2 linked regions of the Oryctolagus cuniculus genome follow. The protein of the gene in region 1 interacts with the protein of each later gene in a pairwise test. Links are inferred from orthologs where the notes say so. Each region holds a gene or a part of one and is shown on either strand. Other genes may lie near its edges. The genes, in order: MAPK14 and DUSP1.

The links.
Region 2: the proteins of MAPK14 (region 1) and DUSP1 interact in binary tests that used the Homo sapiens proteins (3 or more experiments, as listed by UniProt). The link is inferred for Oryctolagus cuniculus from reciprocal best matches to the Homo sapiens genes MAPK14 and DUSP1.

Annotation. Positions count from the first base shown.
Region 1 is NC_091436.1:133,477,602-133,485,037, forward strand, and holds the start of MAPK14 (mitogen-activated protein kinase 14), read right to left. Parts: upstream 4,172-7,436; 5' UTR 3,809-4,171; coding exon 3,693-3,808; intron 3,101-3,692; exon of another isoform or gene 2,966-3,100; intron 1-2,965. Other genes in the region: SLC26A8 (testis anion transporter 1), read left to right, coding at 6,931-7,024. UniProt on the Homo sapiens protein: Serine/threonine kinase which acts as an essential component of the MAP kinase signal transduction pathway.
Region 2 is NC_091437.1:59,320,717-59,328,276, reverse strand, and holds DUSP1 (dual specificity protein phosphatase 1), read left to right. Parts: upstream 1-3,527; 5' UTR 3,528-3,803; coding exon 3,804-4,170; intron 4,171-4,447; coding exon 4,448-4,593; intron 4,594-4,934; coding exon 4,935-5,154; intron 5,155-5,569; coding exon 5,570-5,940; 3' UTR 5,941-6,643; downstream 6,644-7,560. UniProt on the Homo sapiens protein: Dual specificity phosphatase that dephosphorylates MAP kinase MAPK1/ERK2 on both 'Thr-183' and 'Tyr-185', regulating its activity during the meiotic cell cycle.

The sequences.
Region 1 (7,436 bases):
GGCTACCGGCTTTTATTTTTTACCATATATTTTATACAAATTAAAATAATAAAAATAGGCTTAAATGTTTTTTCAAAGGTTATACATCAAAGCTATCATATTTCAGAATATAGGAAACTGACATATTTCAATGCGTAGGTTGCGTTCCTTAAAATAAAATTGAGAGATACTTCAGGTCCAGTTAGACAAGTCACAAAAAACTGTGTCATTACGCTAATTTCTGACTCCTATCTGACCTACAACAGAATTGTCAACCTGACTGCTTGATCATTTTCATTAGACTTGAGTCCAAACTCCCTAAACTATTTGAATTCAAATTAACTGCTATTCCCTAAAAGCAAATCTGCTCTCAAAGGATAGACAGAGAAAAGTAACATGGGTAGCAAAGTGGATTCTAACAGCAGTTCCAAAAATTGTTCTTTCCCACACCTGAAAAGCTGCTAATTGGAAAAAAAAAAAACTTCAAATAACTACAGTACTTACTCGGATGAGATAACACTTACTTGTAACTCTAAATTCTGGTATTTACATTCCAAAATCAGATACATTTTTAAACAGTCAACTGTTACATAATTCCAGTTGTATTTTCTTCCACCAATATATCCAAGTTGCATCTTAAATGCTGCATTTAAGTTACAGCTTTAGAAATGCTGCTAAATAAGCAAGCAACCAAAACAACTCTGTCTCCCCTAAAGACACATAAGAAACAACAGCGGTTCTCTCTGCGAAAGGGAATAGCATGGCTGGAGAACAGAAAGGAGAGGGGACTTTTCACTGAGTAACTTCCTTCTGAATTTTATACAATGTTAATGTATTTCCTATTTTTAAAGAACTGTTTAACCAAAACACTTTCAAGTGTCAGATACTGCTGGCTTGGACGCTACAGAAAGCACAGTACTAAAGAAACGTGCAGTTCAGCTTGATGACACCACATTGCAAATCTGCGTCTCTGTTCCAGCACAGAGCAAGTCATACCAGCAACAAGAAAACCTTGCCAGCAGTTGAATTCAAGTTCATCCACAGTCCCTAGAGTTGAGTTGTCCCGCTATTATCAGTCCATGAATGCTTAAATATCACCGGAAACAAAAACTTGATGAATACTATGAAAATTCATGTGTCAACTCAAGAATGAAAAAACAGGGGCAGGCGTTGTGGCACAGCAAGTTAAACCTGCTGCCTGCAAAGCTGGTATCCCATATGCACTCCAGTTGGAGTCCTGGCTGCTCCACTTCTATACATCTCCCAGCTAACGTATCTGGGAAAGCAGCAGAAGATGGCCCAAGTGCTTGGGCCCCTTCACCCACATGGGAGACCAGGATGAAGTTCCAGGTGCCTGACTTCAGCCTAACCCAGCCCTGGTTGTTACAGCCATTTGAGGAGTGAACCAGGGAGAAGCTTTCTCTCTCTCTCTCTCCCTCTAACTCTGCCTTTCAAATACATAATTTTTTTTAAAAAAAATGGAAAATGGAGGGGGTGGCACTGTGGTGCAGTAGGTTAAATCTCCATATGGGTGCCAGTTTGAGTCCCGGCAGTTTGATTCTCGGCTGCTCCTCTTCCGATCCAGTTCTCTGTTGAGGCCTGGGAAAGCAGTAGAAAATGGCTCAATTTTTAAGCACCTGTACTCATGTGGGAGATCTAGAAGAAGCTCCTGGCTCCTGGCTTCAGATTGGCCCACCTCCAGCGGTTGTGACCATTTGGGGAGTGAACTGGCGGATTGAAGACCTATCTCTCCATCTCTCCCTTTCAACTGCCTGTAACTCTACCTCTCAAATAAATAAATAAAACCTTAAAAAGAATGAAAAATGGAGGTATATTAATGAGCCCATAAATTTTTTTTTCAAAGATTTTATTTGAGTGATAGAGTTACAGACAGAGAGAAGAGAGACATAGAGAAAGGTCTTTCATCTGCTGTAAAGGCCAGAGCTGGGCTGATTTGAAGCCAGGAGCCAGGAGTCTCCTCTGGATCTCCCACCTGGGTGCAGGGGCCCAAGGACTTGGGCCATCTTCCATTGCTTTCCCAGGCCACAGTAGAGAGCTGGATCAGAAGTGGAGCCACCAGGACTCAAGTCTGCGCACATGTGGGATAACAGCACCACAGCGCTGGCCACAGAGTCCTTAAATTTTAAAGGAGCAATTATCTAAATACACCTCTGAAAATTAGCAAATCAATAACTAGTATATATACTAACTAAAAAAGCTTCAAATTCCTTGAAAAGGTTAACTGCCACAGCGTAAAAGTGGGAGAAAGATGTCAGCCACGGTGACACCTGCAGCATTACTCAAGCGGCTTGAACTAGAAAATGCAATACGATCTGTTGCTGGACACAATTGCACAATCTCAATTACCCAGAAGATTCTACCAAACAGGAAATTCATGATGTGATTTTAAGAAACACGGGAATCATATTTAAAGATGAACAAATCCAAAAGCCTGGAATTTGTTCCGAACAAAACAAAACAAAAAAAGCATTTTCCTAGCTCCTTTTCCACCCATGCATGCCCAGGAATTGATAAAACAGGAAAAAGCTTACTATGAAGCCGGACACTTAGTTTCAGATCAGGAGCTCTCAAAAGATACTAAGTATAAAATACAGTGTCTAAGGCCTTGGAAGTTAGAGAAGTCAGTGAAATACTTCAGGTCTGGAAATGTCCTGGTGTCAACTTAAATACAGGCACCTTGTAAAGGACAGCTGGCCGGTGTCTAACTTTCTTCTCCTGGAAGTTCCCGATCCTAACGAAAACCAAGTGTATCTCAGGCCATAGCCACAGATAAGGTCTCTGCACACTCTCCAAGGGGCCTTAAAAATACACGATTCACAGGAATTATCTCAACTTTCAAATATTCACAGTAGCTCCCTGCACCGTGAGCGACTTTTGGGTTTCGAGGGCACGCGGCGGAGGGATCCGAGGCTCCCCTGCTCCCCGTGAGAACCCTGCTTCGTCAAACAATACTTTAAATGAGCAGTGGTATGTGACTAATCAGCCAGGCCGCCAGTTTCTCAAGCGGCAGCCACCACCGCCGCCCTCCACGGAAAGGAAACACGCTCTCGACCGAATCGGAAACACACCACTCAAGCTGGCACAGGGCTCGCCGAGATAAAGCCGATATTTTAAGCCCTATGGGTCGCTGCGAATTCAAAAAGAACGCTTCTCCAGACGGGATTTCCACAGAGGTTTGCAAAAAAGAAGGAAAGAAAGAAAAGCCTGGAGGGGGCTACCTTCGTCGTCAGTTTTGTTCAGACCACCCGATCTCCCAACCGGGTTCTGCTTTCTCCCGCAGCTCCCCGGGTCGTCCGCGCCCCCGGGACGGGTGCACCCCCGGGAGAGGGTCCTTCTGCAAAGTGTTCGTAGGGACCCCCCTCCCCAGCTCCCCGCAGAACAGCCGCCCCTCCCCCAGGGCCTGCCCCCCGGGGGGGAGCAGCGCTCAGCGAAACGAAAGCGCAGGGCGTGCGCCAGGAGCGAGCTCCAGCCAGCACCACCACCTACCGCCCACAGCGGACCTGCGCCTGCACGCAATGGACCACCGCCCTGGGCGTGCAGGCTGCGGGATGCAGGGGGTGCAGGGACAGCCATGCTCTCCCTCGGGGGAAATTCCTGCCGCTGGGCGCATAGCGGAGCCGCGGGGGCAGGCCTGGCCCTCGGGCACCAGGGGCCACCCTACCCACCGCGGCCCCGGGCCTAGCAACACTCACCACACGGAGCCATAGGCGCCAGAGCCCACCGGGGACAGATTCTGGTAACGCTCGGGCACCTCCCAGATTGTCTTGTTCAGCTCCTGCCGATAGAACGTGGGCCTCTCCTGAGACATTTTCCAGCGACGGCCGCGGGGCGAGGAGGTGGCCCTGAGGTGCCCCCGCCTGCACCCACGCCCGCTCCCCGGCCCTCGTCGCCCGCCCAGGCGGGCGGGGACCTCGCGCTGGCCGCCGCGCAGGTGCGGCTGCTGAGACCCCCGCAGACACCCGCGCGTGCGGCCCCTGTCAGCTGCAGCTGCTGGACGCGCCTCAGGGACCGAGGCGAGCCCGGCAAAGGGCAGGAGCGCGCTCCGAGGCTGAGGGCTGCGCCCGCCGGGGTCTCCCTGCACCCTCTCCCGGGCCGGGCCGACGGCGGGCCGTGCCGCTGGACTCCCGCTCCAGTTGCAGCGCCAGCTGAGGCTCCAGTGGTCGCAGTTCCAGAGCCAGCGAACAGGAGCCGCCTGCCGTCCTCTCGCGAGATCAGCTCCCGGGACTCTCCGCGAGCCGAGATTTTACCCAATATGGAACCTCCCCGCGGGAGGGGGTTCGGGAGGAGAGAGCGCCGGAGGAGCAGTTCTCGCGAGAAGAGAGCAACAGCTGGAGCCCAGAGGCAGGAACTCCCGGGGACTGTTCTTCGGGGCGCCGAGGCGGACGGCTAAGGCGGGGATGCTCGCGCACCACAGGCCGCGCGCGCCCCACTGTGGTTGGTGGGGCTGTAGTGCCTGACCACTGCGGAGAGCGACGGGGACGAGTAAGCGTGTCGGGAAAAGAGCCAACAGATCTTGGAACTGCGGCCGAGCACCTGCTCGGTGGAACTCCGCCGTTTCCAAGAAATACCGGCGTCAAAAACTGGTTCCAGTCAGAAGGCCGTCGCATTCCCGTGTGCTCATGGACAGATGGCTAACCCTCCGGGACGCTGACGAAATCGGCCCCAAAGACAAATATTAGCCCCGCTGGAAGCCGAGACTTTGCACCCGAACGGGTGCAAAGGTCGCCCCGGGACCCTCAGGGGCCTCTGCGGGGGTCGGGGCCGTACAGGTGGCTCTGATGTGTCTTAAAAGCCGTGGCCCCGAAGCTTATAAACCGACTTCGGCCCCAAGAGCAGTCCTGAGAAGAGGACTTGGAGATTTTAAGTGGGGGCTCTCCCAGGAAGGCGGAGGAGCAGGGAGTGCGCTTGTGGCAATGTCGCTTTTAGGCAAGCCGGTAGGCCCTGCTCAGTTGCAAGAGAACTCCGGTCCTCCGTTCCCACCTCATAGGGACAAGAAAATACCCGCGAGTGGGCAAGTGTTGTAACCCCAGGCCCATACCTACTGGTGCTGGCCCGGCCCGTGCTAACGCCTGCTACCCTGAGCGCAAGGATGGGAGTCTATCTTGTCCTCCGATCCTTTGAGGGCCACCCCAGGACAGGGGCCGAGGGCTCCCACGGCCGTGTTCTCCTTCCTCGCCCCCGCTCTCGTTGCCCGCCCGCCCCGAACGCCCGCGGGTTCGGCCGCAACGGCTCGGGAACCGCCGGCGTCCGGGTCGGCAGCGCTGCCAGCCAGGCCAGAGCCCTGGGAGACCCGAGCCGCCCGCCGCACTCCCGCCTCGGGCGGGGAAACAGGTGAGCTGCTGCCAGGGCCGCCCGGGAGGCGGGGCTGCAGGCAGAGAGTCGCGGGTCGCGGGCCGGGCTGGGTCCGCCGCCCGCAGCGGGGTCCCGCACGTCGCGGGCGCTCGCTCGGTCAATATTGGTAGAGTGAGTGGCTGACGACGGTGCCTGGAAGCTTATCTCCCGCCTCTGCTTTGAACGGCCGCGTGGAACGGCACCGGCAAGAGGCAGTTCGTGCCCTTTGCAAGCGGACTCCTTCCAGACGCCCTGGAGTTGGCTCGCCCGCCCCGTCGGTCTCGTCACTTTATGCTCCCTGACTGAACCCCTTCCCGATCCCTTGGCTCCTCCTCTTCCCATCCAATCCTGTTTATGCACGGGCGTCCCCCGGCGAAGAGGCGAAGACTGCTGCAACACCCCGGTCCCCATTCTGAGTCAGGCCAGCGCCAGCCCCACTCTTGCTTTGTTGGATGGAGGGCAGTCACGCCCAGCCGCTAGACAGTGGCCGAAGGAACTTGGAAATGATGCTCTTTGCTGCCGGCGCCGCGGCTCATCACGCTAATCCTCCACCTATGGTGCCGGTACCCCGGGTTCTAGTCCCGGTTGGGGCGACGGATTCTGTCCCGGTTGCCCCTCTTCCAGTCCAGCTCTCTGCTGTGGCCCGGGAGGGTAGTGGAGGATGGCCCAAGTCCATGGGCCCTACACCCGCATGGGAGACCAGGAGGAAGCTCCTGGCTCCTGGCTTCGGATCAGAGCAGCGCCGGCCGTAGCGGCCATTTGGGGAGTGAACCAACAGAAGGAAGACCTTTCTCTCTGTCTCTGTCTCTCTCACTAACTCTGCCTGTCAAAAGAAAAAAAAAAAAAAGAAAATGATGCTCTTTGCTTATGCCTTCTCTGTGTTTCAAATGCATTAGGATAAAAATCCTAATGGTAACAGTCTAAGAGGCGTGTGTGAGCGAATTACAAGTTACTTTCAAATTTTGGAAGTGAATTTTGCCTTCCCATGCTTATAGGGAACATATGGAAGACTCTCACAATTAAATGAGTCCTTTGGATGTCACATCTATTGGGTCAGCAGACAGAAAATTGGGTTGTATTTAAATGTTGTATTCTTGGCTTTTAAAATACTTTGAAGACAGCTTATGTAAATGGGTGGATAAGGGTAGGTTGCCTGTATTTCAGCTGTCCAACAACTTACCACTGAGAAGCTGACTCAAGACAAGCGATGCCATTTGTGGTGGTCCTTATACTGTATCAGGGTCACCAGGAGGGCTCTGAAAATCAGCTGCCACCCTCTCCCAACACACACACACACACACACACACACACACACCCGGGTTTCTGACTCAGTGGATCTTGCTACGTGGGACCTACCTGTCAGTAGGAGCCTCTGGTCATTACATCATGTCAGGAAGAGTCCTGCTGAGCCACTAAGGTTTCTATGGTATGAGAAAGAAGGACATAAGGGACAGGGGCTGGGCTGAAGCCAGGAACTCAATCCCGGTCTCCTACATGGGTGACAAGAGCCCATGAACTATCCCCTCTGCTTCCCAGGGTCTGCTTTAGCAGAAAGCTGGAATTAAGAGCTGGAGCCAGGAATGGAACCCAGGCACTCTGATGTGGGACAGGAGCATCCTAGCCACTAGGCTAAACACCCACCTTGATGACAGCTTCTCACCGGCCTCTCATAGCCATCACTCACTGTGGCCCCGTAAGTGTATGGCTTGGTAACCAATGACCCCTGCCCTAGACTAGCATAATATGAATGATCTCCAGCTCATCTTTTTGCCTCAGTCTCTTCTATCTCCAGAACTTTCTGTAATGATGGAAATGTTTCATATTTGTGCTGTCCAGTAAGATAGCCACTAGCCACATGTAGCTTTGTAAACTTGAAATGTAGCTGGTGTGATTGAGAAACTGAATATTTTATTTTATTAAGTTAAATTTAAATAGCCACAGGCTGCCAGTGGCTAGCCCACTGGATAACACAGCTCCAGACTGTAGCCCCAACACAATTTGTCTTCCCAAGGAGCATCTCCATGCACATTGCTAATCCTGCCTGAGACTTTATGTAACTAAAAAATGCAGAGTCTGCCCTACTTGTAAAACTCTCCAAGAACAGG
Region 2 (7,560 bases), on another chromosome or scaffold:
ACAGTCATTTCACGAACTGTGGACCTACTACGTGCGGAGACTGTATCAAAGGTGGGGGTGGGGAGCAGAAAGACGAGAGGAAGTTGCTGCCATTGAACCTACAAGCTTGCAACTCCGGGGGAGTCGGACAAAGACCTAGGTGACCCTGACACAATTGGAGCGTTTGGACAAGGTCGCCCAGCAGGTGCAGAAGCCAGCGGAGGCTTCCTGGAGACTGGAAATTCACCAGGTCTTGGAGGATGGGGAGAGGGAAGAGGGGACTGCACTCTGGCTGGGGCCTGACCCGCAATGTGTGAGGGTGGGAGAGGACCACAGCTTTAAAGTGGCACAGGTCCACTGAGTTCTCCTGGAGCACGACAGGAAAATCAGAGTGTGGGAGGTCCAGGGGCAGGGGGCTGTGGGTTCGGTGGGAAGTAGCAACTCTCAGCAGGTCCTGAGCAAGGGGAGGAATCACCACACAGCCCAGGCGGGAGAGATTCTCACACAGCATTCCACCTAGTCCCAGAAAGGCCGCACTCCCACGGTGCAAGTGGGGAAATGCTGAGCCATGTGTGCAGGCTCACAGGGCCCACGCTGAGCCAGGGCCACTTTCTGATGGCCATCAGTGGTGTGGGGAGCAACCCGGACTGGACTGAGTTACTGGAATTAAGACTTATTCTATGCATCTGCTCTCCCACAATATGGCGCTGGGAGAGGAGGCAACAGCTTCTACCCAGCTGCCTCTCACCAACTTTACAAGCTGCAGGACCTGCTCCTGATTGGAGGAGAGCAGCGTACTCAGCATGTGGGCAGCCGAGTTAGGATTGGCGGAGGAGGACTATAAAGGAGGAGAGAGACGGCATGCACCAGGAACATCTAAGGGGAACACCTGTGTAGCCCCCGAGAGAGCCGGCCGGCGGTGTGCCGCTCCCCCGCGGAAGTGGGGAATGTGGCAGGGGGAACCGCCCTTCCACGGAGGTGGAAGGGATGGTAGCCAACCCGGGAAGGACCAGCAGCCAACCCGGGAAGAACCAGCAGCAAACCCGGGGAGGGCCGAGCAGACGAAAGAACAGCGCAGGGTCCTGTGTCGTTCCTCCACGAAGACGGGGAGCGACAAGTGGGAGCGCCACCCTGCTTTCCCATGACCCCATGGCAGATTTGAAGTCAACTCTGAGAGCAGGATTCGGCCAGGGATTGCAGGCCGGTGCCAGTCATGGCTACACAGCCCTCCAAGATGTGATTATCTGTCCATCACAAGGGAGAGAGGGAGGGCTCAGTGAAGGGAAGGAACCTACTGAAGACCACACGGTGAGGCACTGGCTTCTGGGGGCGTGCGCGGCCCTAGGTCCTTCCCACTGCCTCATACCGCCTATAGGCTCCTGTCTTAGCACATCTGGAACCAGGAAGGGCCCAACTCAGAGACACCCATGAGTCAACACAGGCTGATTCATCCTGCTTCATACCCTCCTGCCAGCCAGGCCCCTGGTGCCAGCCCCCCGCTCTCTCTGCAGTCATTGGAGGCCAGGTTATGGGGAGCCTCTGCTTAGCTCCACCCCTAGCCAGGAGCAGCGTCTCCACAGCCTGGATTGGGAGCCCCGGTGGCTACACCTTTACCACCTGGCTCTGGGCAGGTGAGCCGTGGATGTGCCCCATTGTGCTAAGGAGGGACCTTTCTCTGAGCTGGCCCATGTCCCTCTCCCAAGCCGCTGGCTTGCCCGACTGCCTCTCGCTTCTGCGGCCAGACCCTGAAACGCATGAGAACTGCTCTGCTGGGAAGGGGAAACCCGAGATGTTGAGTGAATCACAAGGAGAAGCAGCGCAGGAGGGGTTGGCTTCAGCCGCTCTCATCTGGGACCTCAAGCCCTCCACAAGGTCGGCTGGGACAGACCCACTGAAGAGGTGTGGGCTTGCACATCACTTGGGGAATAAGAAATCAAAACGACCCTGGGGTTCATGCCAGCTTTTGTACCCTTTCCAGCAAGGGATGAGAGGGAAAACTCACGAGGCCCGCAGACTCCCAACTCGAGGGCTGGACTGTGCCACGACCACTGTGCCATTTGTATAAAAAGGGGCTCTTTTTGAAACATTTGGGTAGAGGAATGTAAAATGAATACTCTTGGTTAAAAAAAAAATTTGGGACGGATCAAGTTGGTATGCAGAGAAAAGTCAGCAGCCCGAACATTCTGTGATTCAACGCAAAAATATGTTGAGTTCCTCAGCTGAAGTAGAATAAACAAACAGAGGATTCATTTTTTTTTCTTCTTTCTCGCCATCTTTCCCCTCTTATCTGAAGCCTGCTTTACTGTTGTCCTGGGCCAAGGGTCCAAGGAAGGTGGAACACTAGTTTAACAAACACACGTTTCTAGAAGCATCTGAGCACAAAGTCTCTGCATGGCACTTGGCACAAGCTACGCTAGGCAAAGGGAGAAGCTGTCTCTGGTGTTAGAACCCACAGAGGGACGACGCAGGCTGGCAGCGAACACCCCTCCCCCCAGGAGAGCAGAGGGGAAACCGCAGAATGTTCCCGATTCTGCACTCGGCCGGTGGCGCAAGGTTTGTTTGTGGACCCGACATGCCGCTGTCGCCGCGAAGGCGGCTCTCCTGCCCAGGGGGTGGTCAGCAGGGCTCGGGGCGCGCGTCTTGCAGCCGCTCTCCCCGCGCGTGGCTGGGTTGTGAGCTGGGGAGCGCTGGGCAGACGCTACGAGGGCGCGCAATGGGGCTGGGGTGCGCAAAGCCGGGGCCCAGGGGCCTCGGCCTCGAGCCAAGGTAACACGCGCGCGCGCGCACCAGCGACCCCAGTGGAGCCGCCCGGCCCGTCCCCAGGCGCCGACCCGCGCGCCCCCCGCCCCGGGCTTGCCGCCCCGCGCTCTGCCTTCCTCTGCTCCAACCTCGTAGGGACTACATGACTAGAGGAGCTATTTGTCCCGCGGCGGAGATGGGGGGTGGGGTGGCTCACTGGACGCCATTGTTCTTGCTCAACGTATACAAAGTTTTTCTTTCTTTCTCACTCCGGCCTCTCTCCTGGTGGGGACGCCATTTCCAGGGACAGAGTTGTTCATTCTCCGCCCGCCCTCCCCGGTCCACATCGTGAGCTCCTCTCCGCCGCCCCCCACCCTCCACGCTGGCCGTCGGGACCCCGGCAGCCCGGCCCGTTAGCGAGGACACGAGGCGAGCGGCCGAGAGGACCCAGCGGCGGCGCCGAGCGCCGAGAGGCCGAGGCAGGTGGCGGAGGTCAGCCTTCGGCTGGCAGCGCGCCCCTGTCCTCCCGCGGGGCGCGTACAGCCGAGCCGAGCCGAGCCGGCTGGGTCTCTGGGGACGAGCCAGGAGCAGGCCGGGGCTGGGGCGCGAGCCAGCTCGCGGGGAGCGCACCCCGCTCCGAGGCCGATGACGTCTTTGCCTCTGGCTCTGGTGGCGCCGGGCCGGGCCGGGTGGGTGACGTCACCACCCGGTCACGTGGCCGCCATTCAAACAAACAAACCCCCCTTCCCCCTCCCAGCGCGCGCCAGCCCCGCCCCGCCCCGCCCCCGGAGAGGCCCATATAACTGCACTCCCCGGGGCCGAGCTCGTCGAGAAGGACGACTGGATTGTAGGAGAGGCGCTGCGGTCGCCGGAGCAGGGACGGTCCCGGGAGCGGCTGGAGAAAGCCCGGGTGGCTGCAGTCCCGTGTGACGCCCTTCGCTCGGCCCAAAGGCAGTGTCTTGTTCCGCGCCCAGAGAGTCGGGGTCGGACTTTTCCTCGAAAGCCGTCGCCGCTCTGCTCTTGGCGTCCGGGGACAGACAAAGGACTCCGGAGCGACGTGCACGCTGGGGGCTCTGAGGCCGGCCATGGTCATGGAGGTGGGCATCCTGGACGCCGGAGGCCTGCGGACGCTGCTGCGGGAGCGCGCGGCGCAGTGCCTGGTGCTGGATTGCCGCTCCTTCTTCGCTTTCAACGCTGGCCACATCGCCGGCTCGGTCAACGTGCGCTTCAGCACCATCGTGCGGCGCCGGGCCAAGGGCGCCATGGGGCTGGAGCACATCGTGCCCAACGCCGAGCTGCGCGGCCGCCTGCTGGCCGGCGCCTACCACGCCGTGGTGCTGCTGGACGAGCGCAGTGTCGCCCTGGACGGCGCCAAGCGCGACGGCACCCTGGCCCTGGCGGCGGGCGCGCTGTGCCGGGAGGCGCGCGCCGCGCACGTCTTCTTCCTCAAAGGTACGACCTCGGGGCAGCGCTGCCTTGCCGGGGGCCCCTTGGCCCTTGGCTCTCTAGTGGGGGCGGGGACCGGCGCCCGAGTCCTACCTGGAGCGCATGGGCGCGGCGTTGTGGCTCTGGGGACTTGTCACACCGGCTTTGTCTGGTCCTGGGAACAAAGACTTGCTTGGGCCTTAGCGATATGAACTTGGAGCGCCTGGTGGGGTGGGGGCTTTGTGGGAAGGGACCTTGGCTCAACGATGCTGATGGAAGCAAACCTTCCTCTCTCTGTTGCCAGGAGGTTATGAGGCGTTTTCGGCGTCCTGCCCAGAACTGTGCAGCAAACAGTCGACCCCCATGGGGCTCAGCCTTCCCCTGACCACCAGTATCCCGGACAGCGCGGAATCCGGATGCAGCTCCTGCAGCACCCCGCTCTACGATCAGGTCAGTGGGGCCCCGTGCCAGAGGGGAGGAGTCGGGGCCAGCAAGGCTTGGAAGAGGGTGCCCGTGAGAACGTGGAAAGTGACCTGCAGCTTTATTTATAAAGGGGACTTGGGGACACTCAATGGCTCTGCGTGTCTGATGCATGGCACTACAGAAATGAACTGGCTGGTGCTGCCAGGGGCACATGGGCTTAGACCCCTGTTTGTTTATACTCCAGCAGCAGCAGCAGGGGTACTGAGAAGTTCACCACTGACTTTTCCACTGGGGAGTTTTTGTGGGTGTGGGTGCTGGTGGTGCCCTGGAGCCGGCCTGAGCAGTGTTTGGGTCTTTCTGCCTCACAGGGTGGCCCGGTGGAGATCTTGCCCTTCCTATACCTGGGCAGTGCCTATCACGCTTCCCGCAAGGACATGCTGGATGCCCTGGGCATCACGGCCTTGATCAACGTCTCAGCCAACTGTCCCAACCACTTTGAGGGTCACTATCAGTACAAGAGCATCCCTGTGGAGGACAACCACAAGGCAGACATCAGCTCCTGGTTCAGCGAGGCCATCGACTTCATAGGTGAGTGGGACGGACGCCCGGCACTGCTGATGCCTCCCCGTTTCAACCTGTCTGGCAGAGGACTTGGGTGCTGCTCTTGTGAGCCATCCACCAGACATGAACTGTCCATCTCGGGTGGACATCATCCTTGCAGAATGAGGACTTGATGTCCCACCCTGCGCATGAGCAAACCGAGGCTTGGCAAGTGGACTTGCCCAGAATCAACCTGCTAAGTGGAGACACCCCATCTGGGTTTAGTCCCTTGCTGCCCCTTTGCACGGTGCCCTCCATGATAGCATAAGTCCATGGGCTAGCGTAAGGTGATGTTGGCCGCCTGGGTAGGACACGTGTGACATTGTTCTTTGACGCTTTTTGCCTGGACTTGGGGTCCCTCTCCCGAGCTCTCTAGTAAGCAGCCGCACTTCTTGTTTTCCAGACTCCATCAGAAATGCCGGAGGAAGGGTGTTCGTCCACTGCCAGGCGGGCATCTCCCGGTCCGCCACCATCTGCCTCGCTTACCTCATGAGGACTAACCGCGTGAAGCTGGACGAGGCCTTTGAGTTCGTGAAGCAGAGACGGAGCATCATCTCCCCCAACTTCAGCTTCATGGGCCAGCTGCTGCAGTTTGAATCGCAGGTGCTGGCCCCGCACTGCTCGGCGGAGGCCAGCAGCCCCGCCATGGCTGTGCTGGACCGCGGCACCGCCACCACCACTGTCTTCAACTTCCCCGTCTCCATTCCCGTACACCCCACGAACAGTGCCCTGAGCTACCTTCAGAGCCCCATCACCACCTCCCCCAGCTGCTGAGAGGCCGGGGCGGGGCTAGGAGCGCCACCTCCACCTCCACGCGCGCCCGGGACTCCAGGCTTCCTCCTTGGTGGAGAAAGGCAATGACTCCCGGGAGGGGGCTCACGAGCGCACACCGGGCCTTATTTATGTAACGTCACCTGGCTTCCACTGGGCTCCTCTGCAGTGGTAGCGGTGACAGCAAGATGCGTGTCGCACCCAGCACACGGGGACCAATGTGTAGTGGGTACATCAAGTCCCTCCGACAAAACAGGGCAGGAGAGGAGGACTGTTTGAGCCCATGTCTTTGTTGCTGGCCCCTGTTTTTTTGTAGAAATCTTCGTGCTTGGCACACCTACCAGTATTACCATTCCTGAAGACATACACATATGAGACTATCCCTTATTTATTTTTGTGTAGGTGGTCCGCCTTCACACATGTCAGTGTCTACTTCTAGAAGAACCAAATACCTCAATTTTTGTGTTTTGAGTACTGTACCGTCCTGTAAATAGACCCAGAGCAGGTTGTTTCCAGCACTGAGGGAAGACACCAGTGTTGGCTTTTTGTTTGTTTTTTTCTTTTTTTTTTTTTTAGTTGCCAACAGTTGTATGTTTGCTGATTATTTATGACCTGAAATAATATATTTCTTCTTCTAAGAAGACATTTTGTTACGTAAGGATGACTTTTTTATACAACAGAATAAATTATGGCATTTCTATTGAAATCTCAAGGCTTTTATTTCTTTGGCTGCCTCAGCCAGCTCCTCTCCTGCAAGTGAAATAGGGAAGAATTTGGATGAGGGTCTGATCCTGTGCCCCTCCGTGGCCACTTGGTCCCGTGAGGTAGCCGAGTCATAAGGGAGGTGGACAAGAGGTCTGTCGGGAGACATCAGCGCTGCAAGTCTTACTAGAGAGGGTGAGAATGCCCCGTTCCCTTTTTAACAGTGGTGTCATCTGCCGTGTCACCTGGGATGCCCTCGTGTCCCCACAGCCACTTGGCCTGGGTTGCCTTTTCATGGAATACCGTTCTCAGGATGATATAAAAAGTCTCCCTCCACTCTAGGCTGTGTCTAAGCACTTGGCATAGATCACATGTGTTCTGACTGCGAGGCGGTGTGTGCCACCTGCCCCCAGAAAAACAGCCCAGTCTGAAGATAGGGAGACCCAGCCTAGCTCAGCGGCAGCAGGGGAATCAGAACCTGCTGTTCCGTTTTGTTACCTGATTTTTTGAGCTTTGGGTTTTATCACTCAGTCTCACATGCTTTTGTAAAGACCCTCATTTCTATGAAAATACATTAAGTGGCTAAAAAAAAAAATCCAAGCACTGTAAGCGAATAGAATACAGATAAATCACCAGCCAGACCCTCACCCGCAGCGTGACCACTGTTATGGCTTGGGAGGCTGTTGATGCCAGCAGTTCTGCAGACTGGCTCAGGGGGTGAAGGCTCAGTGTTTGGGGCGGCTGCCTCCTCCTGCCCACTTGCTTAATCTGATTTCATAATTTTGATGCAGAAGATAGGTGATTAAGCTTGACTTGCTCTAGGGTAATATTCTGAATTTGTACTCTCTCTTGCTCAGCAGAGAAGCTGTAATTTACTACCAACCCATAATCCAGTCTGTAATGTTGAATTAAATAACCACC